Linked DNA regions of Oryctolagus cuniculus. The protein of the gene in region 2 purifies or fractionates together with the protein of the main gene of each other region. This does not show direct contact. Links are inferred from orthologs where the notes say so. Each region holds a gene or a part of one and is shown on either strand. Other genes may lie near its edges.

Region 1 (3,500 bases), on a different chromosome or scaffold from region 2:
CAAGGGGGCACCAAGGAACAGGAAGTGACTTTGATGTGCACACGGAAAGAGACCAACTTTGGTCAGCTTCCCACAGCCTTGCCTGGATGCTCCACTACCCCAGGGCAACGCAAGGTCACCCCAGGGCAAAGCGTCGGTGCTTAGGGTAAGGTTGGGGACTGAAGAGGACCTGCCCACACACAAACAGTGAGGACCTCCTCACACACAGGACAGAGGGGACCTGCTCACACAGGACAGGACAGAGGGGACCTGCTCACACACAGCACAGGACAGAGGGGACCTGCACACACACAGGACTGAGGGGACCTGGTCACACACAGGACAGAGGGGACCTGCACACACACAGGACTGAGGGGACCTGCTCACAGGGGACAGAGGGGACCTGATCACACACAGGACACAGGGGACCTGCTCACACACAGGACAGAGGGGACCTGCACACACACAGGACTGAGGGGACCTGCTCACACACAGGACAGGACAGAGGGGACCTGCTCACACACAGGACAGAGGGGACCTGCACACACACAGGACTGAGGGGACCTGCTCACACACAGGACAGGACAGAGGGGACCTGCTCACACAGGACAGAGGGGACCTGCTCACACACAGGACAGAGGGGACCTTCTCACACAGGACAGAGGGTACTGCACACACACAGTACAGAGGGGACCTGCTCACAGGGGACAGAGGGCACCTGCTCACAGGGGACAGAGGGGACCTGCTCACACACAGCACAGGACAGAGGGGACCTGCACACACACAGGACTGAGGGGACCTGCTCACAGGGGACAGAGGGGACCTGATCACACACAGGACACAGGGGACCTGCTCACACACAGGACAGAGGGGACCTGCACACACACAGGACTGAGGGGACCTGCTCACACACAGACCAGAGGGGACCTGCACACACACAGGACTGAGGGGACCTGCACACACACAGGACTGAGGGGACCTGCTCACACACAGGACAGGACAGAGGGGACCTGCTCACACAGGACAGAGGGGACCTGCGCACACACAGGACAGAGGGGACCTGCTCACACAGGACAGAGGGGACCTGCTCACACACAGGACAGAGGGGACCTGCTCACACAGGACAGAGGGTACTGCACACACACAGTACAGAGGGGACCTGCTCACAGGGGACAGAGGGCACCTGCTCACAGGGGACAGAGGGTTCCTGCTCACATACAGGACATAAGTCACCCACAAGACATCGACTGCATGTGGTGGGTGGGACCAGGAGGCAGCCGGGCCTGTTCTCCCTCCTCTCCCCTCCCATGCCTGGTGGCAACCACAGAAGGTGCCCAGCTCTGGCAGACGCCCGTCCTGTCTGCCCACCCACCGCCTCGCAGTGGCCTGTCACCTGAACTGCTGGTACGTCTCCGACAGGTAGCTGTTCATGGACGACAGGTGCTCATTCTCCCCCTCAAACAGCTTGTTGGAGGCCGCGTGCTGCAGCACCTTGGCCACGGAGCCCAGGTTCCGGCGCTGGTCGGGGCTGATCTGGCCCCCGGCGGTCATGTCGATGATGTCGAAGCCGTCGGGGGCCACGATGGCGGGGTTCATGTAGCGGTAGTAGAGCAGGTTCCCCACGACCTGCCCAGAGCATTTGAGAGACAGAAATGTACACTGTGGGCGTTTTGCTTTGTTTGTTACATAATCTTGTCTTAGTTACATTTCCAGGAGAAATCAGACCACTTCTGATATCTTAGCTACATTTCCAGGAGAAATCAGACCACTTCTGATACGATCCCAACAAGGAGCTCAGCACAGGCTGTTGAGGTGACCACACACTGGAGAGGACGTGGTGGTGACCACATACTGCGTAGGCCATGGAGATGACCACAAACCACCGGGAAGTGCAAGGTGGTGACCACACACTGCATAGGCCATGGAGATGACCACAAACTGCCGGGCAGGCCATGGTGGTGACCACACACTGGGCAGGCCGTGGAGGTGACCACACACTGCATAGGCCATGGAGATGACCACAAACCGCTGGGCAGGGCATGGTGGTAACCACACTCTGGGCAGGCCGTGGAGGTGACCACACACTGCATAGGCCATGGAGATGACCACAAACCGCTGGGCAGGGCATGGTGGTAACCACACTCTGGGCAGGTCATGGAGGTGACCACACACTGCATAGGCCATGGAGATGACCACAAACCGCCAGGCAGGGCATGGTGGTAACCACACTCTGGGCAGGTCATGGAGGTGACCACACATGGCCAGGCAGGCCGTGGAGGTGACCACACACTGCTGGGCAGAATGTGGAGGTGACCACACATCACTGGACAGGCTGTGGTGGTGACCACAAACTGGGCAGGCTGTGGAGGTGACCACACATGGCCAGGCAGGCTATGGAGATGACCACACACTGGGAAGGTCCTGGTGGTGACCACATACTGCGTAGGCCGTGGAGATGACCACAAACTACCAGGAAGGGCAAGGTGGTGACCACACACTGGGCAGGCCGTGGAGGTGACCACAAACTGCCAGGCAGGCCATGGTGGTGACCACACACTGGGCAGGCCGTGGAGGTGACCACACACTGCATAGGCCATGGAGATGACCACAAACCGCTGGGCAGGGCATGGTGGTAAGCACACTCTGGGCAGGTCATGGAGGTGACCACACATGGCCAGGCAGGCCGTGGAGGTGACCACACACTGCTGGGCAGAATGTGGAGGTGACCACACATCGCTGGACAGGCTGTGGTGGTGACCACAAACTGGGAAGGCTGTGGAGGTGACCACACATGGCCAGGCAGGCTGTGGAGATAACCACACACTGGGCAGGCCATGGAGGTGACCACACACTAGGCAGCCCTGGTGGTGACCACATACTGCGTAGGCTGTGGAGATGACCACAAACCACCAGGAAGGGCAAGGTGGTGACCACACACTGGGCAGGCCTTTGAGGTGACCACAAACTGCCAGGCAGGCCATGGTGGTGACCACACACTGGGCAGGCCGTGGAGGTGACCACACACTGCATAGGCCATGGAGATGACCACAAACTGCTGGGCAGGGCATGGTGGTAACCACACTCTGGGCAGGTCATGGAGGTGACCACACATGGCCAGGCAGGCCGTGGAGGTGACCACACATGGCCAGGCAGGCTGTGGAGGTGACCACACACTGGGCAGGCCGTGGAGGTGACCACACAGCACCAGGAGAGCTAACAGAAGCTTTTGGTGAGAAATGCGGCCTCTCTCCCCAGGCGCTCATGGCAACGCACTTCAGTGGTGCCTGGGCTCTCCAGACTACCCCCAGCCGAGCAGCAGTCCCGATGGCCACTGCACCACCAGTCACCCGGGCCGTCTCCCGACGTGGTGGCTCCTCCCCGGGTGAGCTAAGGCGGGGCCACCCCCGGAAGTCTACCTTCAACAGCTCATCCTCCGAGGCCTCGGGGAATTTCTCATGGATGGAGTTCTTCAGCACTTTGGCTACATACCTCAATCCATAACTACATGGAAAACAGATGAC
Region 2 (4,187 bases):
GCTTGGGCCCCTGCATCCACGTGGGAGTCCTGGAAGAAACTCCTGGCTCCAGCTGTTGTGGCCATTTGGGAAGTGAACCAGAGGATGGAAGACCTCTCTCTCTCTGTCTACCTCTTTCTGGAACTCTTTCAAATAAATAAAATTAAATTAAAAAAAAATAGCCAGCTGATCCCAGTTATAAAATGGTTAAAACTCAGCTTGCTTCCAATTTGTGGTATCTCCACCTTTTGCCTTCACTGTTTAAACACCTTTAACTGAAACTCGGGGCCATATTTACAGCTTTAACAATCTGATAAAACAACATTCCAGCAGTATCATCAGGAATATAGCTTACCAGTCGAAAGCAGAAATATATTCTTGGTACGGAAAATTTGGGATTTGGATTTTTACTGAAGAAATGTTTGCTACGTATGACCCCTGAGAGTAACAGTGTAACTTTTTTTTTTTGGCAAAAGTTCACTTTACTCCAATACTACTTAAGACAGTCAAGAGTCAACATAAATGTCAAACCCTCATTAAAATACCGTGGGGACAAGCCTTTGCGACACTGGCACCCCACAGCGCGGTGCCGGGCTTCGATTCCTTGCTGCAGGCCCCAATTCCAGCTTCCTGCTAGTGTGAACCCCGGGAGTGGTGGTGACGGCTCATGTAGTTGGGTCCCTCCTGTCCATGAGCAAGACCTAGAATGGGTTCTCAGATGCTGGTTACAGGTATGTTGGGGGTGAGCTGGTGGGTAGGAGCTTCTTCTCTCTCAAGTAAATTTTAAAAATTAAATTAGAAAGCAGACGGGAAATTCCAGGGCGGGAACAGTGTTTTGAATACTCATACTCCCTCACAGAGCCTCACACAGTGCTGGTCCTGGTCACTTCCAGGCAATCAGTAGAGGCCTGGCCCCTGGGAGGGGCTTGCCAGCCAGCCCCCTGCATGATTTCACTGAACTTCCCAAGGAGGAACCTCTCTGGGGGAGGGGAGGAGTGATGTGCTCTCAGACACCTCCCAACTAAGTGGTGAGATGTGGGCAGGACAGACACACACAGCAGGCATTCAACAAGTATTCACTGGAAGGAACAGCAGTACCAGCAGGAGAGGGCTGGGAGCTCTTCGTGTCAAACACCCTGGGTCCCTGCTTTAGAAACCTTCAAGTCAGAATACTACATTCCATCCCTCGGTTCTGAATTACCACAACTTCACTTAGAAAGAGAGCTAAGCATATCCTAAGCATAATCGATGGAGCATTTATAACTTTTAAGGGAAATCCAGGTCATTTTAAACGTTCCTAAGAAAAAGTGACGTTTTGCTGATGCCTGACACAAAAGCATGGAAGAATTCACTTAAAATAATCCGCTGACTTCATTTTCAATCCCACTTCACGAACGCTTTTCCCCAAGTGCCAAAGTAAGGTTTTCTTTTAAAAAGGTAACATAGCATACACATTCCTAAATAAATGAAATTTAACAATTTTTATTTGAATACGTAGAACTATACAGGGTTCACCTTTCCCACGTGTGACACGAATCCAACAGACATGCATCTCCCCAGAAAAACCAGTGTCCTAACTGTCCTCCTTGCATCCGAAATGCACAAACAATCTCAAACGTCTCCCATCAGTTCTCTAAGCTAAGAGATCACACATTCACTAAGAGGCATAAAAAAAAAAAAAAAAAAAAAGATAAAAGTCGGAAGGCCACTTTTGGGATATGAACCAGAGGTGTCCAGCGCACTCTTCCTCCGACTCTGGACTTGGACCAGTTGCATTCAGAGCTGGGTGAAACTGGTAGTAATTCTTCGAGAGTCCCTGTCCCACACTAAGCTACACAAGCAATGCTGAGACGCGCGATTTTGCTCGGATCACACTGGGATTCTTGTTTATAAGGGAGGGAAAAACACACACACACACACACACACACACAACTGCATAAGACCGGTCTTGTCCTCCTCTGGGGCCTGTAACCCCCACGGGCGGTCCTGGAAAGAACTCCATCCATCCCTGCCGCGCTCAGCCAAGGCCTCGGTTTTTTAATTTTTATTTTTATTTATTTTTTTAAATAACGACCACATTGCAGGAGGTCAGCTTCCGTCACACCTGGCCCCTGACAGCATCTTCCAAACTTTGTCCACGCCAAGGGCGCCACCGACCATGTCGAAGAACCCCACAAGTGGCCAAGTTACAAGTGGCAGCGACGCGGCCGCACGCTGGGCTTCCGGTCACTCAGACCACTGGACCTCCGCCGCCCGCCCCGGCTCCCCGGGCTGGAGGGGTGGGGGTGGGGGGCGACCAGGAGGTTTAGGGTAAATGCCAGGGAACGGCCCCTTCTCGCCAAAATAAAATAAAATAAAATAAAATGATTTGCACAGGCGCCCGAGAGCCGTGCCAAGCCGGGCAGGGTGGCGGGCGGCGTCCGGCCGCCCCGCGGGCCCGGGAAGGCGGCGAGAGGGCGGAGTCCACTCTTGCCCGCGGCCGGCCAGCGGCAGGGCCCTCCCCCCACCAGGACGCCGCAACCCGGCCCGGGACGACGGCGGGTGAGGGGCGCCCGCCCGAGCCCCGCGCAGAGGCCGCGCGGCGCCCACGCGACCCTCGGCGAGCCCCCGCCGGCCCCCCAGAGCCCCCGGCCGCGCACTCACCCGTCTCCCACCACCACACACTTGATGGCCTGCATCTGGGCCGCTCGCTGGGCCGCGGCGGCGGCGGCGGCCGGGCGCTGAGGCGGGAAGCGGCGGGCGGACGGGCGCGCGGCGACGGGCGGGCGAGCGCGCGGCGACGGGCGGCGGGGCGCGGGATGCCGGAGCCACTGTCCACGCCGCCTCGCCCTCCGCGGACTGGAGGCACAAGCCCGGCAGCAGCCACCACCCAAAACGGAGGAAAACTGCAGAGAAACAGGAAATGGCCGCTCCACTCACATCCGGCCGCCCCTCCCCCGCGCCGGCGCCGCCGCTCCCAGGCTCCGGGAGGGGCCGCTCCCGCCCGAGCGGCTCCCGGGGTTCCTCGGGGCTTCGGGAGCGCTCGGGAACGCTCGGGAGCGCTCGGGAGCGCTCGGCTCCGGCCGCGGGGGCGGGGCGGCCGCCATCTTTCCCGCGGGCTGGGCGCGGCCGGGTTTGGACTGGGAGGGGAGGCGGGGGTTCCAGGAACCGCGCTGACGTCACCGACTCCCGGCCCGGCCGTCCGAAGGGCGTGGGTTGTTCCCCCACCTCTTTATTGTCCTGTGTGTATGGTCACTGTCACTTAGGCGATGACATAAGGGCCTTCTAGAAATTTCCGAAGCTGAAGCTATATAAAGAAGGAAAAAAAAAGAAACCATACCATTATTGGGCCATAATCAGTATTCATTCCATCATATTTCTTTTTTTTTTTTTTTTAAGATTTATTTATTTGAAAGAGTTACAGAGAGAAGATGGAGAGAGAGAGAGAGGTTTTCCACCCGATGGTTCTCTCCCAATTGGCCGCAATGGCCAGAGCTGGGCTGATCCAAAGCCAGGAGCTTCTTCCAGGTCCCCATGCAGGTGCAGGGGCCCAAGGACTTGGACCACCTTCCACTGCTTTCCCGGGCCACAGCAGAGAGCCACATCGGAAGTGGAGCAGCCGGGTCTCGAACCGGCGCCCATATGGCGCTTCAGACCTGGGCTTTAACCCACTGCACCACAGTGCCAGCCCCTCTCCATATTTCTTTTTTATTTTATTTATTTATTTATTTATTTATTTATTTATTTTTGACAGGCAGAGTGGACAGTGAGAGAGAGAGAGACAGAGAGAAAGGTCTTCCTTTGCCGTTGGTTCACCCTCCAATGGCCGCCGCGGCCGGCGCTCTGTGGCAGGCGCATCGCGCTGATCCGAATGCAGGAGCCAGGTGCTTCTCCTGGTCTCCCATGGGGTGCAGGGCCCAAGCACTTGGGCCATCCTCCACTGCACTCCCGGGCCACAGCAGACAGCTGGCCTGGAAGAGGGGCAACCGGGACAGAATCCGGCGCCCTGACCGGGACTAGACCCCGGTGTGCCGGTGCCGCAAGGCGGAGGATTAGCCTAGTGAGCCGCGGCGCTGGCCTCCATATTTCTTAATACACACAGTGAACATGTTTCAGGCAAGATTGAAAAATCATACTGAATCTCTAATATTTTTAATTGCGGCTTACTAGTCCATTGTACACATGTACCTTTTTAAAATTTTACTTTGTTCATTTATTTTGATTTTACT
Region 3 (3,500 bases), on a different chromosome or scaffold from region 2:
CACCTTTTGGCTACTGGGATTGAGGCTTTGAGGGATGCTCACACACAACTACCTGAGTCCCTGTTTTCAGTTTTTGGGGGTGCGGGCCTAGAAGTGGAACTGCTGGCTCTTACGGTAATTCTACATTTAAGTACTGAGGAACCAACAAAGCGTATTCGTTAGCATTTTGCAATAGTGTCTTTTTGAAATATTTTTTAAAACAAAAAAAGGTTAATGTTTTTTAGAAACAGATCATGTGGTGATAGCATACGGATGTGGGGAGGCCCCCTGCCCCCAGCTCTCTCTCTCTCTCTCTCTCTCAGCAGCCTCTGGTGCAGCTGGCACCACCCCACTTCCCCAGAATCTCTCCAGCTCCCCTTCGACAACAGCAAACCAGGGTAAGGGCACTTGCCCCTCGCCTGGCGCAGGGCACGCTGCTCTCCTGCCGTGGACCCCTCTCAGCCACAGGAAGGGGCGGGCTCCCCGTGCGGCTTCAGCCCCCACTCCCTGCCACCTCCTTCCTACCCAGAGTCCCCTCGGATGAGTCGTCACACAGTGGCAAAAGCCGGGTACCACTTCCGGCGGCATGAACAGCACCCTTCCGGAAGATGGATCTCAGGGGTGCACGCAGACCCTCAGAACAGTCTTTGCAGATGCCTTGAGCTGAACGCACCCTGGATGGATGGTGGAGCCCCTAGGCAGTGACTGGAGTGGAGAGGACACAGTGGGAACCGTGGGGCCCCAGCCCAGCCACGGTGGGATTGCCGGAAGCCGCCGGAAGCCGCCGGAAGCCGGGAGAGAGGCGTGGGGCAGATGGTCCACATCAGCCTCGTGAAGAAGCTGCCAGCCCACACCCGGCTCAGGCTCCCGAGACACGAGGGGCCGGGGCTGCCTCCCTGCTGCGGGCTGTGGTCGCTGGCTGGGGCAGCCCTGGAGGCTGTGCGGTAAGTGCCGCCCCTTAGCCCCTGCACACTGCCTGGCATGTCTCTTGTGGACACCCGGAGGCCACGGGCCCTACATGGCTCAGGAGCGAAGGGGGCTGTGCCAGGAGAACAGGAGCCTGCCGCCCCCAGCCCCCAACCTCTGCAGTCCGTCAGGCACCTGGGCTGAAGCCAAGGCCTCGGGTCAAGGGGACTTGCGGAACGGACGCCCACTTACTGGACTGCAAGCTGAAGCTGAGCTTGGCCCTCGGTGTGACCGGAGGGGGCGTCTGCTGGGCGGGCGAGGATGACGGGGACACGGAGAAGCGCCGCTCGCTCCCGACGACGCTGAGGACCTGGCTCTTGGGTCTCTGGGGCCGCAGGGGACTTATCTGCATTGCGGGGACAGAAAGAGCACAAGGTCTGCAACTGGGCTGAACCCTGTCCCTCCCCGAATTCCCGCACTCAAGCCCTAACCCTCCCGACCCCAGGCCACGACGCTGTCTGCAAACAGGCTCTGTGCCAATGACTGCATCGCGATGAGGTCCACAGGGTGGGCCCTAATCCACAACGACAGCTGATGTCCTTCTGAGAAAGGGTGATGGACAGACACACACAGGCAGCACGTGTGCTGCTTCCATATGCCAAGCCTTGCCAGGCTGCCAGCATCCAGCTGAGGGGCACGGCACAGGCGCCAACACCTTGACCTTGGACTTCTGGCCCCCAGCACCGGCAGAGAATGCATCTCTGCGGCTGACACCTCCGACGCAGTGCCTGTGGCAGGAGCTGCACTACACGAATGCGGGGGCTCACAGCACACTGCTTACACAGCCCGGGGACGCCAGCTACTGCACAGGTGTCCTGGAGCAGCAGGCTACGGCCGCAACCAGTCAGACACCATGCGAGACACACAGGGCAGCCTCCAAGGGCCAAGAGCAAAAGGGACCAGGCAGGGCTCAGCTCCAGGGCCCCAGCCTGCCCCTGACACTGGCATCTCCTGGCGAGCGCGTGCGCATGGAGAACCTCGTCTCTGCTGCTTTCCATCTTTCCCCTCGTGCGACGCTGGTACTGAGTAGGATTCTCTCTCCTTCTCACACTTCCTACAACGTGGTCTCAGGCCATCAGGCCTCAGAGAGCCCCAGCTACTACAACACTCTGAGGCGGGAGTCAGCAAAAAGGTGATGAGCCCTGCTCACCAGGAGGGCTCCAGCCCACACCCTCCCCCACCACCACCCAAGGAGGGCCAGGCAGGTGTGGCCTGGCTCGGCACTGTGGCCTGACCTGTGGGCCTGGAGTGTGGCTGCCTGGGTAGTGGTACGGGGTCTGCAGTGTCACTGCAGGGGATGGGCAAAGCCAGCGCCAGTCCGGGGCTCTGAGGCTGGAAGGAGAGGGCCCTGGCTGGGAGGAGGGGTGAGGCTCAGTGGAGAAGGAGTGACTCGCAGCCACAGGCGACAGGGCCACTTCCGGAACTCTCCTGCGCCGCACGGCCGGGTCCCAGTCAGCCGGGTTGCTGGGAGAGCTCTGGAGGTGCCGGGTCACTGGGTCAGTGCGCCTGCGGGCTCGGCAATGGCTCAGGCGCCTCTGCCGGCCTCTGCTGCCGGGCCCCTGAGGCAGAGAGCAGAGGGGGCTTCACTGGGGACACGCAGGGTGGAGCCTGCAGGTCCGACTCACAGAGCCTCAGTGAGAGGTCAGGAATTGCTGCCGACGCACACGGAGTACGGAGAAGCGGAGAGGAGGGAAGACTTAGGCAGAAGCTCTGGGAGACTGGGTGGTGGGAGGCTGGGGGCTGGGAGATGGGGGGCTCCATGGCAGTACCAGGGGCCCAGGGAACACTAGCGGGCACCGATGTCACCCCTGGCCCTGCCCCAGGGGTGCACGCCTGGCCACAGGCACAGAGGCCCATGCAGGACAACCCCTGGTGCCCGACTCTGTCCTTACACCTCTTGTTGGAACCTGTCCCCTCCCGGTGGCCACTTTGTGGAGAGAAAGGCAGCTGGTTTGGACCAGGGTCAATTGCTGGCCTCCCGGTGGCCGTCCTGGGCCTGGCTCAGATGCTGACAGCCAGGTCAAGGTTCTGCGATCTGACCGAGGTGAGTTCTGAGGGCTTTCTGATGGCACTCAGGGGGCCGTGTGGCCCCGCCTCTGGCCTTGGCAGCCTCAGGGAGGGGCGGAAACTGTGCTCTGATGGCCTGGGGCCTGTCCTGGGACTGCTCTTCACCCAAACCTGCTGAGGTCCGCTCTGCCACCTGGCTCCATCTTGAAACAGAGCCTGAGTCAAAGTGCATGAGACTCAGTGGGAGTCTGGGATTCATGGACTGTGCAATCAACGCTTCCGTCCCTTCCCCCACCCACTTACAGGGGTTGAAACTTGAGAATTCTCTCCCGGGCTTGGGAGAAGCTTCAGCTGGCATCCCAACTGGAAGAGTGGACACAGATGGAGGCTGGGTCATCTGGGGCTTGGCACCTGGGCAGTTCATGCCTCCACGGGGCCCCATGGCCGTGTCCACCTGCAGGCTGCGCTGAACATGACCACATGGCTACAGCTGTGGCCAGCACATGCCCACAGGCCTTAGCAAGTGCCCACCTGCTTGGAGGCCCCGA
Region 4 (4,239 bases), on a different chromosome or scaffold from region 2:
TCGGTCAAACAGCTCAAAGGCCTCCTTGAACTCTGGGGGACACAAGGAGGGATCACTGTAGTCCAGGACTCCCATCACTCCCAGACAGAGGCAGGCTCAGCAACTATGTGTGACAGCTGGGAAGAGCCAGGGAGGAAAAAAGAACTATGTGGCAGGCTTCAAGGTCAGGGCCGGGGTTAGGGGAACAGCAAGAGGATCTGACCGGGGCCTTGGGACTGGACAGTGGCTCAGGAAACCAGCTTCTCCTCACCCTCCAGCTGATCCTTGTTAAACTCGATCTGTGGAAGAGAGCAGGTGAGGAGAGATGACGAGGATTATGCAGTCCCTCTGAGCCTCCTCCCCACCAACTGGCAGCCACCTCTGTCCCATTCCCAGCCTTAGGCCTTGGGAGAATCCCAAGAGGAGGAATTACAGGGGGGAGGGTTTCCTGGGAACAGGGTTAATCCCATGCCACCTGTTCCCCTCCCTCCACTGCCCTGAGCCCTGCATCCCTCACATAACTGGGGGCTGAACAAAGGCTAAATTTACCCCTGGCCCCCAGCTGTGATTGTCTAACAAGTCTGCCCTCTTCAGCCTCCCCTCCTGGGGTTCAGAGCTGCAGCCAGAGGCAGGGAACAGCTCTCTCCCTTCACCTTGAAACTGTCCTCAGAGCCCCCCAGGTGCGCCTCATCTCAGGGTCCCTGCCACCGACAGCGGGTGAATGTACACATACACACATGTGTAATAGCTTCCAGGGAGAGAACAGCAAAGACCACAGCGGCGTTATAAGCCTGAGTGCTTCCAGATGGGGCGCACAGGGAAAACTCCAACCTCATCCCAGTGCTCCCGGGTTCCCTGCCTTCTAGGCACCTGCTAGTCCCCAGGGGCAGTATCCCACCCTTGACCCACCCCCTCCAGATCCTAGCCTCACTTTCCAGGGACTCACCACCACTTTGGAGAGATCCACTGGGGGCTCCTGGGGTTTCTCGGGGGCTGCTGGGACAGCAGGCTCAGCCTTGGGCTTGGCTGGAGGAGCCCCCGCTGCTGGCTTGGCAGCTGGCTTGGAGACGGCAGGCCCTGGGGCGGGCCCTGCTGGTTTCTTCACGGGAACATCTTTCTTGGGAGGCATGATGTCCAGTGGCCACAGGACAATGTGCCGATGGGGGCACCCATCTCTGTTTAAATAGCCAGGGAGTCTGGGATGTCAAGAGGCGGGGGCAGGAGCAGGGAGCCAGCTGGCGGTGGTGGCGAGGATGAGGTGGAAGAGAGATATGCCTGCCTGCCCTCACTCCCCTGGCCTCCCAGGGTTCAGGACTCCTGCCCCAAGGTTTTCTTTTTTCTGCTCACCCCTCCCCAAGAGCTGCCTGAAACAATGTTCCCCTTGGGCAGCCAGGGAGAGGAAGCCGGAGACTGCCCAGAATCTGGGAGTTAACCTCCAGGGTGAGGACCGGCTTCTTGCCAGTCACACGGAGATAGGGATGAAGCAAAGGAGGGAATCCAGCAGCCCAGATAGGGGTGGAGGGGGGGCGGGGGCAGGGAGCCTAGCATGAATTGGGTAAGTTAAAGGAGGGTCTAGGTGAAAGGTGAAAAAATCAAGCAGTGTCACCCCCACCCCTGCCACTCCTCCCTGACCCTGGGTTAGCAGCAGTGATACTTGACTCCACATTGTTCTAATAATCTCTGATATGTGTAATCTGTGGGCCCCCGCTCAGCCCAGAACTGGAACTGTGCAAGGGATCAAGAAAGAATAGCAACAGAAAGAGGAGGGGGACTCCGCTTGCCTCGGTGGTGCCCAGTGTTGTGTGGGGTGGGGGTGAAGGTCGGGTTTAACGTTAACCCACTACCACCCTTCCAACGAAGAGACCTTTTATCCCAAGCCCAAGTCTGACAAAAGGCAGGAAGCTGGCTGAACCTGCAGGGACCCCCTGGTGGCACCTGGGGGTTACCGCCGGTTCTGGGAGACAAAGGGCCTACGTTCTCTAATCCAGAATGATGTGGGAGCACCTGTGCGTGCCCTGAGTTGCTCACCCCCGCAACCAAAGAAATAATAAAAGCCCCACCTCAGGGGCCCAGGTCACAAACCTTGCTGGGGGCGCTGGGCCAGGGTCGTGGGGGGCGGGGGAGTTTGAGAGTGGGGAGGGATTGCTGGATACTTTTGTTCTGGGGGTGCAAGGGGTGAGAAAAGGATTAAAGTAGCCTTCTTAAAGGAAGACAGTAATGAATTCATTTAGGCCCTGGGGTTCAGCGATGCTGGGTCTCCCATTTGCAAAAGCTCGACTCATCTCATTACAGCAAATTGTCCTATTTCTGGAAAATAAGGAATCATTCCTCCAGCGGGGAATACAGCCATAGCATGCATACACACACACACCCAACCCTTAAAGGAAAAAAGCCCTCCCTGGTCCCGCAAAACTCACCCTGCGGGGTCCGGGTGAGGGACGGGGACGGGGGCGGGGGCGGGGTGCACCGCGGTCCCCGGCGCTCAAGGGTTAATTCTGGCGGTCGCAGAGCACGCCGGGAGTTGTAGTCCCTGGCGCCCGCGGGCTCACAGGAAACAACGCGCCGCCGGCAGTGGACGGGGGCTTCCGGCTCGGCGCGGCTTCCGGCTCTGCGAGTCACCGCGGCGGTTGGTGACTCAAGCACTTTGGAGCGCGGTTTCTGTCCCGGAACTGAAAGGCAGCAATTTACAGTCCCCACCCCTCACCCGAAACCTCCGTACCGAGGCCTGGTGAGTTCCCCTGTTAACACGTCTGCCGGCGAGAGGACTCGGAAGCGAGGGAACGGTGGGGCTGCTGCAGGCGACGCGGAGGTCGCGGAGCCGGAAGCACTTCCTGCGGCCTCTGTCGGTGCCCCGCGCAGTTTGGTGGAAAGAGAAGAGAGGCCGATGCATTACTGTGTCGTTTGGGGCAGTTAACTTGTCAAGTTGTTTTTGTTGTTTTATGATGAGCTGGTCACTGAAATAAATGTTAAAAAATGTACAGTTAAGCCTGGTCACCTGCCTCAGATTTCCAACTCGAGGTCTCCATGGATCCGAAAATGCTCACGGCATCGCAAAAATAATACCCTGGGGTTGGCGTGGTGCTGGCGGCCGGGGCCACGCGCAGGTGTGCAGGGAGCCGAGCGTCAGCGGGGCGAGGCGCGAGTGAACTCTATGGGTCGTGTGAGTGGTGGTTGTGGGTGGGGAAAGCTGCTCGGAAGAGAAGAAAGGGTTTGTACCGCAGACTTAGCGGCGGTGACGACGCTTGCCGGTTCCCGGAGGCCGCGCAGGTGAGGGCCTGGTGAAAAGGCGGGGAGCCTGAGAGAGCGCCCAGCGTGCTCAGGTTCGACTCCCGTTCCCGCCAGCTGTGGTCCTGGGTTCTCCCATCAGAGTCAGAAGAGTGTGCCCCACCGGGAGCATTAGCTGTGTTAACATTTGTAAAAAAAAAAAACAGTGTCTGGCAGCCGAAGTTTTGTAAAGTGTTACATGAATGTGCTTTAGTCTTCCCAGTACATGACATAGATGGTGTTTTCCCCATAAAAACAATTTTTTTTTTTTTTTTAATTTGAGAGAGACAGAGCTGTTTCATGTCCCAAATGCTCTCAACAGCCAGGGCTGGGTCAAGGCTGAGGCCAGCAGCTGTTAACTCAAGCAGGTCTCATGTGAGTGACAGGAACCCAGTGAACTGAGCCATCATGACTTGTACTATCAGGAACCATGGATCAGAGGCCAGGTATTGAGCACAGGTAATGAATATGGGACATAGGCTCTAGAACCACTAGACCAAATGCCCGCCCTGGTGTTTCCCCAGTTTACACCCAGGAAGGATCAGTAGGTATGAAGGCTTTGAGAGCAAGAAGGACTATATTTCTTATAAGTGTTTGATTCATTTTTTTCTCCCCCTTTCTCCAATCTATGGCCAACTCTTAGCACTTTGCCAAATGTGAGTGGTTATGGCATCTGCTGACTTTGTAGCATTTTCAGTCTGTTTTATAGGGAAATGCTGCAATAGAGAGAAGACCCTTGGCAAACACACACTGAAAGACTGGCCTTCATTGTCTGTGCTGTGCCTGTCTTTCGTTCATAAATAACACAGCTGGGAGCAGACATTCAGCCTAATGGTTAAGGCACCTGTGGCCCACATTGGAGTGCCTGGGTTTGAGTCCCAGCTCTGGCTCCTGAGGCCAGTGATGCCTCAAGTAATTGAATCCTTGCCACTCAGGTGAGAAACCTGGATTGAGTTCTTCACTCCTGGATCTGACCCCAGCTTAGACCTGTTACTG
Region 5 (3,500 bases), on a different chromosome or scaffold from region 2:
GTTGGAAGTATCTACCAGTGCCATCTGCCAGCTACATTGTGCTAAACAAATCCTCCATATATACCTCTGTTATCATACTTACCCAATGGTATAATAATCTAAATGCTCATTTGTTCACCATTAGACTACGATCTTACAAAGACCAGTATTTGATTATATAGCCCCAATAAAACAAATACACCAAAAATGACTGCAATTTTTTTGAATCTCTTATAATACCTTTTGCTTTCTCTTTTCCTTTCTCTTATCCTCTGTATCTTGCAACATTTTTTCTTTCCATAAATCAAAGAAATATGAAGGATTGGTATAAAACTTCAAACCTTCTTTACCATCATCTCTGAAACACAAAATGTCAATTAAAACACACAAAAGTAAGACACAGAGCAACAACCAGAATAGAAATAATTTTACTAAAATTTTTCTCTCATGTTAATAAAACATAGAATGAATTAAAATACTGCCAAAATAAATTAGAATATCATAGCACTAGAAAATTTCTCAGAGATCAGAATGGAAATTAACCAAATGCTTTTCAGAGTTGGTACTAATAATTTAAAATACAGTTGGGCAAATTTCATATCTAACTTCTGCATACCAAATTTTCTGAAATGCCTTTGGACATTAGAATAATTACAAATAGTTCTGCCAAAGGTAAAAAGTCTGAAAAGATAGTAACATCACTTGTAGTAGAAAAATTTTATAATTTTTGCCAGCACAAAATCTTACTAAATCCAAATGATAGCACTGAATAGTCATTCTGACAGTAAAACTTAGTCAATGACCTGCACTTTCACATAACTATTTGAATACCAGGATATGTTTTGTACATCTTCAATTATACATTTAATAAATCATGTAAAAGGATTCCAAAGAAAGGCTGAATTAGTTTAAATGGTATTTTTAAAAGACCTACTACCTATTATGTAAAACATTAATACAAATAGATCAAAAGCAGTCAGAACAAGCAAAAGCGTGGCATTTTAAACTCTTCATTTTTCCTTTGATTATAAATTAAATAAAAAGGGTAACAACTCTTTGATTCTTTACATTAACGTTAGTAAATTTGTTAGCGGCTTTTCTTAACAATACTTGTCAAAACAACTTCTCTGAATAGGTCTTATCTTTTGTATGCTAGAACCTTGGAAACTTATCTCATGAATAAAGCAAAGGTTTCCGAAAGTTAGTGGGGAGGGAGAACTCTCTGTGTTGGCCAGAGGCCTGATGAAATAAACAGTATTTGGGGATTTAGCATTTAAATCTGAAGTCTGAGATAAAAGCAGATGTTCTCATTTATTAACCTACTGACCTGTAAGGAGTGAGTATATTGAGAGGGGGAGGCTGCTCGCAAACATCGTACGTCTCCTGTAAGGGAATAGGCAAAGTCTTGCGGTCGAAGAGCTGCTGGTCTTGAATGGTAGAGCTTCGGAAAGCTTTTCTCATAGTTATATCTTGTAAAGACACTAAAACAAAAATGGAGAATTGATTTGATTTTACTAAAATGACAATATAAGGGCAAATTAATATACTATATTTGCTTAAAAGTCACTGGCTGAAGAGGTTGTGTGACCTTAGTAATTTATAAATCAGAAGCCATATTTTATATTTTAAATGCTCTATTGTGACATTTACCTTTATCATTCTGTGTCTAATTTTTACAATCAGATGGGTTTTAATTCAACCTTTGATTTCTAAGGCACAGAAGGTCTTATGACACATAAACTGTATGTACATTTCCCAACAAGTGTATCTTTTTTCTTCTCTCTATCAGCCATCCTTGGTCCCACCAACTTAAGATTCTTTTTCTTTTCATCTGTAACTTTTTTCTCCATTTTGGTTTATTTCTTCTTGTGAGCTCCCAACAATAACTCTGAAGAAATTACTTGGTTATCAGTGGCATTTTGGGCTAAACATTGTTGACTTCTATGTATATATACTAAAAATACTATACATGTACTGCCACAGTAAAACAAACTGTAAGGAAAACAATTTGAAGTACTGGGTGATCAGTTTTATTCTCCATCTTTTTTTTTTTTTTTTTTTTTTTTTTTTAATTTTTGACAGGCAGAGTGGACAGTGAGAGAGAGAGACAGAGAGAGAAAGGTCTTCCTTTGCTGTTGGTTCACCCTCCAATGGCCGCCGCTGCAGCCGGCGCACCGTGCTGATCCGAAGGCAGGAGCCAGGATCTTTAATCTATACTGTAATAATTTCTACTTAACTACAAGCTCTTAAAGACTGACTCTTGCACATCAGCACCACCAGTAGCTAGCACAGCCCCAGCATGTGTATGATGATTTGAGAATAACCTCATGGGGCTGGTGCTGTGGTGTGATGGGTCCACCACCTGCGATACCAGTATCATATGGATATATGGGCACAGTTCGAGACCTGGCTGCTCCATTTTTAAACCAGGTACCTACTAAGGTCCCTGAGATAGCAGCAGCAGATGGCCAAAGTGGGCTCCTGAACCCATGTGGGAGACCTGGAAAAACTCCAGTTCCTGGCTTTGGCCTGGCACAGCCCTGGCCATTGTGACCATTTGGGGAGTGAACTAGCAGATGGAAGTTCTCTCTCAGTCTCTCCTTCTCTGTAACTCTGCCTTTCAAATAAATTAAAATAAATCTAAAAATAACTTGATTTCTTTTTAATGTGTAGCATGTTAAAGTAAGAAATGTACCAGGGGCCGGCGCTGTGGTGCAGCAGGTTAATGCTGTGGCCTGTAAGTCCCAGCATCCCATATGGGCACCAGTTTGAGACCCAACTGCTCCACTTCTGATCCAGCTCTCTGCTGTGGTCTGGGAAAGCAGTAGAAGATGGCCCAAGTCCTTGGGCCCCTGCACCCACGTGGGAGACCCGGAAGAGGCTCCTGGTTCCTGGCTTTGGATTGGGGCAGCTCCGGCCGTTGCGGCCAATTGGGGAGTGAACCGGCAGAAAGAAGACCTCTCTCTCTGCCTCTCCTCTCTCTGTGTAACTCTGACTTTCAAATAAATAAATAAAGCTTAAAAAAAAAGAAATGTACCAAAATACTGCAATCTTAAGAGTGATTTCCTGATATTAAAAAAGTACATAATTTCTTTTCTATTTAAGGTGGGCCTTAAATCCTTTATACTATAGCAATGCCAGTACCGAACAATCATAACAATTCTTAAATTATTCTTCTCAATAAAATAGTATTTCTATCATTCTCCAAGTAAAATTCACTCAATATGAGTATTGGATCCACGGCACATGTGGAGCATTGAGACAGGCTCTGCAACGGACCCAACACAACTACACTTCCAGCAATTTCACTGCTAAAGGACTACATGACTGGTAGTCAAGTACACTTATAAACACCAGATTAAAATACAGAGAAGGGGCAAACTCATTTTCTCTACTGGCACTAAAAAGTGCTATGGAAGAAATCTAAAGACTAACTGTACTAGATGCTTTCACTAACTTTCACTTAATCTTCACAATTCAGTGAATCAGAATTATTATTCCATTTTTTAAATATAAAAAAA
Region 6 (3,944 bases), on a different chromosome or scaffold from region 2:
ACTGTGTGACATTTCCAGGCCTGTCCTAGCTGAAACAGATATCTTTGTTTTTCAAAAGGTGTTGCTTTTTGGCTATCAACAGTAGCCTGCCCTTCCCAGCTTCTATTTGAATCTCCTCTCCAAGCACAAGATCACCTCTTTCAGAGCTCCATCCTCCAGTGCCCTCTCCTCTTCTCCCCCTACCCGATTCCCCTTTCTAAACAGCCAGTTTTTAAATTTAGTCTGTGCCCCTTCAGGTGTACCCCCAGCCTTGCAGTTAGTTTCAAATAATTTGACTTCAGACTCCATTCGGGTCTTTTCCATTTTTGGATTGTGAATTTCCTGACCTATCATAGCCACGTATGTAATAAAATGATTTACTGTAGTAACATGATTACTGTTCAATCCACCTTGTGCTGCTTTATGATTCGATAAAGAAAGAAGCTCCAAATTCAGGAACCAAAAAAATACTTTGATTGCAAACACATTTTTTAAGTCTGTTCCATTAGTCAAAATTAATTTTCCCCTCATAGCCAAGCACATTTAAAAAATATACTCTCCAGTCATAAACCTAAAGCTCAACTCAATTTTTTTCAGTAATTGTAAATATTTAATGTACGATATAAATAAGGTATGACCTGTTTGCGTGAATTTCTTTTGTTCCGGAAAAGATCGGTAGTACGATTATGTAAAAGTTAAACATCTCAGTTTCTCATTTCAAACCGTCCGGGAGACTTTTCAGGAGCGAGTGGGAAACGTGCACTTCTGCGCGCCTGCTTCTCCGAGTTTCCATCCACACTGACAAGATGTCACCAAAAGTATGCCACACACAGGCAGGCACCGCGCAGTCTCTCCTTGCGTCTGAATGTGAAAAGTCCCTAAACCGGAGCCGGTTTTCATCCGTTCTTCCGCGACTCCGGGCTTCCGAGGCCGTGGTCGAACGTGAGCAGTGGGGGCAAACTGGACTTGCGACCGCGCAGACATCTTTCTGACGCCTGGGTTGCCCATACCGGGCATCTGTCCCTGCCTGCTCCTGGGCTCGCTCCACCCCTGCCGGGTGATGCACAGCAAAAACACGCGCTCTTCCCAGGACGCCTCTGGCGGGTGCATCGGGCTGGGCAAACGTGGCCCTAGGTGGCAGGTCTCTGCCCAAGCAGCGGAGCCCGGGGGCAAGGCTGGCGCGCTCGCCCTCGGTTCCCCCTGGCACTCCCCGCCCGCCGCTGCCTGAACCTCGGGGATGTGCCTGGACCCGGCGCCGCGCACGTCCCGGCCAACTGCGCGCCCAACAAGCCCCTGGCGCGCGGCCAGGAGGCTCCCTCCCAGCCACCGCCCGCCCCCCCGCCAGCGCCTTTTTTTTTTTTTTTCCTCCCCCGGTACAATACAAGATCTTCCTTCCTCAGTTCTCTTAAATCACAGCCCGGGGAAACCTCCTCAGAGGCTCCGTGCAGCCACGCGCCAGCATGTCTGGGGGCAAATACGTAGACTCCGAGGTAGGCTATGGTGGGGACGCGCCGCCCGGGGCGCGCGGGGAGTGCCTGCCCCTACCCGCTCCCACTCCACAAATATTCCGGCTGCTTTCCTCCTTGTCCCGGCCCCGTCTCCACTTGGGAGCACTCCTGTCGCGTTGGCACCTTGGAGGAATGGGCCTGGGCGGGGAGGTGAAGAGAAGCCAGGAATGTTTTCTAGGTTCCTGCTGGGGAGGAGGCCAGAGGAGCCCGGGAGATAGAGGGTGGGATGGGGGGGGGGGGGACAAGGGTCGCAATCCTCAAGTTTGGTTTGCCCCTTAGGGGCACGTATTCTACATGCGTGCGCCCTTGTTGCGAGACCCTCCACGGAGCTGAAGCGCTGGAGGCTGGGGTGGGGGCGGGCGTCCTTTATCCGCAGTCCTGGGGACAGTCCCCGCGAGTCCCCGCCAGGAGCCTGGCGCAGCTGCCCCGCGGCGGCGCGCGTGTGTTTGCTCTCTCCAAAGTTCTTGGGCCGTCTCAAGGACCCTTGCCGCCTCTCGGCGCCTGTCGGGGGTGCTCCGCGAGGGGTGGGCCTCCTCCTAACCCCAACCACCACCCGCGCTGGGTGCGGACACCCGGTTTTCCCAAACGCAGCGGTTGCTCCGCCACCCGCCGGCAGCCTGGGAACGACCTGAGGGTGGTGGGTCCGGGCGGTGGTGCAGGTGACAACTACTTCCAGGGGGATCTGGCACTTGGTGCGGACCAGAGGTGGGGGGGGGGGGCGTGGGAGCTTGTGACAACCACCTCCCCACGCAGGTCGGGGGGATCCGAGGAGGGACAAGCGAACGCCAAGGAAAGGGGTGCAGGGGACGCGGGCAGGTGCGAGAGGGACGCGGAGCAGCAGCAAAAAAACGGGGACGTTCCGTGGCTCTGGAGGTTCCCGCCGTATCTTCAGGATTAAGCAGGAAGGGGTTATGGGGCCGGGAGGTGACAGGGGTCCGGGGCGGAGAAACGGAGCAGGTGCAGGCCTCTGGGTATAGGGGCCGGAGCGCAGCCTTAGATCGGCCCCCTCCCCGCAGTGGTCCCCGCGGGGCGACGCGGGCCAGGCGTGCGCGGGGCGGGGGCCCGGGCTGGCCGCGCCGCGGGGTTTGCCCTGACCCCTGGCGGCGGGCGGGGGAGGCCGGCGCTCCCTGCCTGGTACCGAGGGGTGTGGTGTCGTCTCCGCGATCCTCTTAAAAAGCTGGCGGCGCGCAGGAGTTTTCTGTGCGCTGAGCGGCCGCTGTCGACGAGGTCAGTTGGATTTCGAACTCCAAGTGCCCCTGGTCGCTAGGCTGCCTTCTTCTGACCGCTTGCTTTCCTTTTTGAATTATTCTTCCCACTGCGGTTGTCACCCTCCCCAGGGACATCTCTACACTGTTCCCATCCGGGAACAGGGCAACATCTACAAGCCCAACAACAAGGCCATGGCCGACGAGGTGAACGAGAAGCAAGTGTACGACGCGCACACCAAGGAAATCGACCTGGTCAACCGCGACCCCAAGCATCTCAACGACGACGTGGTCAAGGTAGGCTGAGGCGCCGGGTGAGCCAGGGCCGTCGCGGGAGGGGGCGCCGTCGCCGTCGCAGCCACACAGCACCCCTCGGGCCAGGCGCTGGGCACCCTCCAGGGACTGCGACGCCACGCACGGTGTCCCGGGGGCTCCATGTGCCTGGGCTCCTGCTGTGGCCAGAAATGTCACCTCGCCCTTCTCCCCTGCTGCTGGTGGGTTCAGCTGCACTTTAGCTAACGCGAGTTCTGTAGGAGTTTGTACTTTGCAGCCTGGCAAATGAACCTCCTCAGCAAGAGACCAGCCGGCACTCCTTGGGAGGCTTGTGTTCCACTCTCAGGCTGAAGGTCCAGTGACAGGTCCCGTTATACAGGGAATTAAGGCAGTCAGATAATTGAGGTGGGTCTTGTGCCAGGGTGAGTCAGAACACAGAACCGTTATGTTTCCCTGGCTAAAATCATCAGAAGTGGTTTTCCTTAAAATAATTAAATCAGTGCAAATGCTGAGGACGCAGGATACAACCAGGAAACTGAGCAGATTTACAAAGCCAAAAATAATGTGTCCCCTCTTGATTTCCCTTCTACACTCCTCTGGTTGGTGTAGCAAGCTGCTTCTGTAATGTCTCCCTACGCCAGGTTGGATATCCTTGTTCTACTTTCAGGATGTGCTTGGTGAGATTAAAAGCAGATGGACCAACTGGATCATTGCATACATTTAAGTCTGACTCTGTCAGTTTTTTTTTTAATTATTATTATGTTATTCAACTTTGACCCTTTTGGTAAATTTAGTTGGAGGAATTTATTATCTGAAGCCATCTGGGTTGGGAAATCATGGGCTTGAGCCATCCTTGGCAGGGGGTTCTCCTTGAGGATTGGGGAAGGCCAAGGAGACTCCCAGCTCCCAGAATGAGTGTGTGAAGACCCAGTTCTGCAAGACCCCAGGCAGGTGAGCAGTTCCCACCCACCTGGCTTCC
Region 7 (4,300 bases), on a different chromosome or scaffold from region 2:
ATCTTAAACATGTGCAATTTATTATGTGTCAATCATATCTAAACAAAGATATAAAAATGATTAGCAAGGAAAAATATTTGTTTTAAGTAAAACAAAAAAATCCCCATAATAACCAAGTAAAGTCTGTGTCAGGGATGCCGTCTTAGTACATGCATTTATTCTCTCATTTAGCACTTTTAAAATTATTAATTTTTATTTATTTTGAAGGCAGAGAAAGAGAAGGAGAGAGAGAGAGAGAGAGAGAATTTCCCATCTGCTGATTCACTTTCCAGAAGCCCACAACAACCAGGGCTGGGCCAAGCCAAAGCGAGAAGCCCAGAACTCAACTGGGGTATCCCATATGGGTGATACAGACCCAAGTACTTGAGCCATCACCTGCTGCCTCCCAGAGTATGCATTTGCAGGAAGCTGAATTGGAAACAGAGCCAGAAATTGAACCCAGGCACTGTGCAATGGGGTTCAGTCATGTCAAATGGCATATAACCACTGTGCCAAATGCCCACCTGCATCCAGCACTTTTGAACATCTACAATGGTGGATACTAGGGACTCTGCTGGAAACACAATGTTAAACAAGTCCCCTACTCTAGGGTGTTTACATTCTAGTGGAGACAGACGAAACGGTAATAATAGACTGTTATAAGTGTTGTGACAGGGCAAGAAGGGACAGCTTTGCAAATGTTTAGCAGGGTTATCTAAACAGATTATTCAATAGTAGATGGTAGAAGCTGTACTGAAATTGACTGTGAAACTCATGAATGATCAGATGTCTCCCATGCACACGAAGGGGTAGTGATTGTGAATGTCATATATTTGCAAGCAGCCTTGTCAGTAATTTCCCAATAGTGTGACTATTTCAACTGGTTCTAAAAACATTTAGGAATTACAGCTTAGTTTCTTTCCCCCAGAGCAGCATTTTAAATGCAAAGTGCTTCTTGTGGGGAAACATGAACCATCCACACTGTAGTGTAGATAGAGGACAAATGCTCTTTTGTTTCCAAACGTTCTGTTTTCAAGTGTATTTTCGCCGCTTATGTGACTGTGTCTGAGCCTTTGCTAAGGGTACTGCAGCTGGATTGAGTAGTGGAACCAGGTCCAGAAAAAGAATTGCTAAAGAATGCAAGTAAACAGGATGTCAGATGTTATCCTTAGCCTATTTCCCTAAACATAGCTTTTTGGCTGCAAAGTAAAATGCCATTCTTCTAGCTTCTGCTTATACACAGAGATGGCTGACAGCAGGCACAATCTTCATTTGCTTGGCACGTTGTCACCACGCAACTCAACATGTTTTGCGAGGAATGATCATGACACACCATCTCTGTGAGACAGTATGAGGACATCCAGCCATTTCTTGGTAGAATTTTCTCAGTTGACCTTCTTTGAGCTCGCCACGAGGCTCAGAGCTGTCTGACCTAAGAGCCAGTTGGCATCTTCCTCGTAACAGAAGCCAGAATTTCACTGGAGATAGGCTATTTATTTATTGACAGTGTTCTCCCAGACTGGCCCACAAATGTTTCATTTCCAAGGTCCCCTGAAGTGCTGGCTCACCTCTGTTTTCCACGCACACTTGCTTCCTTCTCTCTCCTCCCTCCCCAGCGTCCTTCTCACTTCCTTCCCTTACAGGCTTCTTGAACTGTTGAGTTTTTTTTTTTTTTTTTTTTGGGAGGGGTGTGTGTGTTTCTTCTTTTTTTATCGTACTGAATTTGTTTTGCAGATTTTGAAAAAGAAAACTGGTGTTACCCAGGATTTCTACATTCATTCTTATCTGTTTCCACATCTTTGAATGTGATCCCTGGGCTTTTAGAATCCCACATTTTGAGTGGGGTCACTGTTGTCTGAGAAAAGTTGCTTTAAACCTTTGCTCTGCAAGCACCAGAAGAGAACTCAGAAAAAGGAAGACGACAGCAGATGCAATCGCGGATGTGGCTTACTCCTTGCAGCTGCCCCAGTGAGCTGTTCAGACTGTACTGTCCTCAGTAATGAATCCAGAAGAGCGAATCGTGACCTGGCTGATATCTTTGGGAGTTTTAGATTCCCCAAAAAAGACCATCTGTGATCCGGAGGAGTTCTTGAAGTCTTCGCTGAGAAATGGGGTAGTGCTGTGCAAATTGATCAACAGACTTATGCCTGGCTCTGTGGGAAAGGTAAGGTCAATTTGCAGTGTCTTTGGGATTGCTTTCTACCACACAGCAGCAGTTCATGGACTTGGAGATTTTATACTACTCAGGTCATGGGAATCTCCTACTTTAATACCTCTCTAGGAGTTCTACATTCTTTCTTACTGGTTTTCTCTCTAGAAAAAGTCAGACAGTGAAATCTTGTCCTTTAGTAATTGGATCTCAAATATTAATATAGTAAACTACCTGTTATATTTCTGGCAGTAGGGGACAAGGGGAGCACTTGTATCACAAGGTTGCTCCATTATGGAGACGTATATGTTACACTTGCCTGGGTACTGAGGAAGATTTGAACTTGGAGGTACACAGGAGTCTACAATATAGTGGAATGATTTATAATAGATTTTGATAGTGTTTCAACAGTTTCACTGAAAATCAATGTAGATTTTCTGTTAAAAACTATCCATTGAAGGAGAGACTATTTAGCAACTAGGAAAAAGAATCCAAAATGTCACATAAAGTTTGTAGAAACAATAGAAGCCTAATGTGTATTTCAAGTGCAACGTGCATTCAAAGTGAAACTAACCTTACCCCTCTTTAAAAAAAATCCAAGATTTTTAAAGTTGGAAGCCCATGATCACAAGAATGGATAATTTCTGAAGTAGACATTTTATGTAAACTTAAACGTAGACACCTACAATTATTTTCTTAAGTTACCATAGAACATGATTGTGAGTACAGCTTTTTTGCTTTCTTGAACTAGCATGCATTTTTATTGAGCAAGGAGATTTACTTATAATTTTGTAAACTTGATAAAGAGTGCTAAAATGCAGAAAAATGTAAAATATAGAGAGCAGCAAAGAGAAAATGTAATTTTACTAAGTTCTCATGGGGAGGGAGAGGGAGGTCATAGGTATTACTTCCTTGTTTGAAAGCAGGAGCTAAGCTCAAGAAACTGTCTTGTCTCTCCATGGTAGTATCACCATACTTGGGCTGAAGGCATGAGAAAGACGTTTGAAAGTAGAAATGGCTTGAGACTAGAGCTTCGGTGACATTTGAAACTGTTTAGATTTTTGCATCACTTCCTTTAGTGGTTATTTCTCTTCCTGGATTGAAAGCAACGTTGCCTCCTGCCTTAAAAAAAACCTACCTTAGTTAATTATCAGCACATAATGAATACGGTCTGTTTGCTCTGGGATGACAATCTCCAAGTGACATATGACTCTGTTTCTCTAGTATTGTCTGGAGCCCCAAACTGAAGCCCAATGCATCAACAATATCAATGACTTCCTGAAGGGATGTGCAGCCCTTCAAGTGGAGGTAAGCACACTCAGGTTGCCTTCCTTGTTGCCAACATGATTTGCTGTAATGAGGATTGATAGTAAAAGTATGTGATTTATTTCTCACCATCGGTGGTCACCAAGTTAAACAGGTAGCATTTTCTAGAAGCCAGAGTTTGGATTGATGGTCTCCAGTATTGGATTGCTATCCTGTCTTTCCCAGAAATCAGTTGCAAAAAAACAAACAAACAAAAACACCTAAAAAAAAAAGCCTTTTAAATACAGCATCACAACCCTCAAAACAGGCTTACACTAAGAGAGCTTCTGCGGCGTACTACCCTACTAAGGGGAACTAAAAGTGGGCCACTGGCTGCTACAGTAGGCTCAGTGTTATCACCTTGAGTTGGGAAGAGAGCAAAGGCCATTATCACTGTGTCTCATTAACGCTTTAAAACACAACCTGGAAAAGCTTGGAGGGGACAGCGTTTTAGCATGGTAGGTTAAGCCAACATTTGCTTTTTTCATCCCTTATGTGCCTGGGAAGACAGTGGAAGATGGCCTATGTGCTTGAGCCCCTGAAGCCCATAATGAAGTTTCTGGCTTCTATCCTTGGTCTGGCCCAGACTTGGTTATTGCAGCCATTTGGGGAGTGAACAAGCAAATGGAAGATTCTCTCTCTCTCTCTCTCTCTCTCTCTTCTTCTCTGTTGTTCTGCCTTTCAAATAAATAAATCAATATTTTTTCTTTTTTTTAAGTTTTATTATCTTTTTTTTAACTTTTATTTAATGAATATAAATTTCCAAAGTACGATTTATGGATTACAATGGCTTCCCCCCATACCGTCCCTCCCACCCACAACCCTCCCCTTTCCCACTCCCTCTACCCTTCCATTCACATCAAGATT

The links.
Region 1: the proteins of RAC1 (region 2) and IQGAP2 purify together in Homo sapiens (affinity purification with mass spectrometry; 5 studies listed by BioGRID and IntAct, with this or other methods). This does not show direct contact. The link is inferred for Oryctolagus cuniculus from reciprocal best matches to the Homo sapiens genes RAC1 and IQGAP2.
Region 3: the proteins of RAC1 (region 2) and DOCK1 purify together in Homo sapiens (pull-down; 6 studies listed by BioGRID and IntAct, with this or other methods). This does not show direct contact. The link is inferred for Oryctolagus cuniculus from reciprocal best matches to the Homo sapiens genes RAC1 and DOCK1.
Region 4: the proteins of RAC1 (region 2) and myosin light chain 6B purify together in Homo sapiens (affinity purification with mass spectrometry; 3 studies listed by BioGRID and IntAct, with this or other methods). This does not show direct contact. The link is inferred for Oryctolagus cuniculus from reciprocal best matches to the Homo sapiens genes RAC1 and MYL6B.
Region 5: the proteins of RAC1 (region 2) and WASF1 purify together in Homo sapiens (affinity purification with western blotting; 3 studies listed by BioGRID and IntAct, with this or other methods). This does not show direct contact. The link is inferred for Oryctolagus cuniculus from reciprocal best matches to the Homo sapiens genes RAC1 and WASF1.
Region 6: the proteins of RAC1 (region 2) and CAV1 purify together in Homo sapiens (affinity purification with western blotting; 4 studies listed by BioGRID and IntAct, with this or other methods). This does not show direct contact. The link is inferred for Oryctolagus cuniculus from reciprocal best matches to the Homo sapiens genes RAC1 and CAV1.
Region 7: the proteins of RAC1 (region 2) and ARHGEF6 purify together in Homo sapiens (affinity purification with mass spectrometry; 3 studies listed by BioGRID, with this or other methods). This does not show direct contact. The link is inferred for Oryctolagus cuniculus from reciprocal best matches to the Homo sapiens genes RAC1 and ARHGEF6.

Annotation. Positions count from the first base shown.
Region 1 is NC_091445.1:1,137,875-1,141,374, reverse strand, and holds part of IQGAP2 (ras GTPase-activating-like protein IQGAP2), read right to left. Parts: intron 3,481-3,500; coding exon 3,396-3,480; intron 1,606-3,395; coding exon 1,373-1,605; intron 1-1,372. UniProt on the Homo sapiens protein: Binds to activated CDC42 and RAC1 but does not seem to stimulate their GTPase activity. Associates with calmodulin.
Region 2 is NC_091450.1:40,075,988-40,080,174, forward strand, and holds the start of RAC1 (ras-related C3 botulinum toxin substrate 1), read right to left. Parts: upstream 2,801-4,187; 5' UTR 2,658-2,800; coding exon 2,623-2,657; intron 1-2,622. UniProt on the Homo sapiens protein: Plasma membrane-associated small GTPase which cycles between active GTP-bound and inactive GDP-bound states.
Region 3 is NC_091446.1:4,383,026-4,386,525, forward strand, and holds part of DOCK1 (dedicator of cytokinesis protein 1), read right to left. Parts: intron 1,292-3,500; coding exon 1,138-1,291; intron 1-1,137. UniProt on the Homo sapiens protein: Involved in cytoskeletal rearrangements required for phagocytosis of apoptotic cells and cell motility. Along with DOCK1, mediates CRK/CRKL regulation of epithelial and endothelial cell spreading and migration on type IV collagen.
Region 4 is NC_091442.1:58,960,184-58,964,422, reverse strand, and holds the start of myosin light chain 6B, read right to left. Parts: upstream 2,801-4,239; 5' UTR 2,699-2,800; exon of another isoform or gene 2,569-2,698; intron 2,554-2,568; exon of another isoform or gene 2,397-2,553; intron 1,155-2,396; 5' UTR 1,109-1,154; coding exon 889-1,108; intron 279-888; coding exon of another isoform or gene 251-278; intron 33-250; coding exon 1-32. UniProt on the Homo sapiens protein: Regulatory light chain of myosin. Does not bind calcium.
Region 5 is NC_091436.1:61,398,742-61,402,241, reverse strand, and holds part of WASF1 (actin-binding protein WASF1), read right to left. Parts: intron 1,461-3,500; coding exon 1,307-1,460; intron 338-1,306; coding exon 220-337; intron 1-219.
Region 6 is NC_091434.1:151,971,519-151,975,462, forward strand, and holds the start of CAV1 (caveolin-1), read left to right. Parts: upstream 1-1,144; 5' UTR 1,145-1,439; coding exon 1,440-1,469; intron 1,470-1,882; exon of another isoform or gene 1,883-2,146; intron 2,147-2,567; exon of another isoform or gene 2,568-2,714; intron 2,715-2,824; coding exon 2,825-2,989; intron 2,990-3,944. UniProt on the Homo sapiens protein: May act as a scaffolding protein within caveolar membranes. Forms a stable heterooligomeric complex with CAV2 that targets to lipid rafts and drives caveolae formation. Mediates the recruitment of CAVIN proteins (CAVIN1/2/3/4) to the caveolae.
Region 7 is NC_091453.1:114,649,163-114,653,462, reverse strand, and holds the start of ARHGEF6 (rho guanine nucleotide exchange factor 6), read left to right. Parts: upstream 1-1,500; 5' UTR 1,501-1,978; coding exon 1,979-2,143; intron 2,144-3,352; coding exon 3,353-3,436; intron 3,437-4,300. UniProt on the Homo sapiens protein: Acts as a RAC1 guanine nucleotide exchange factor (GEF).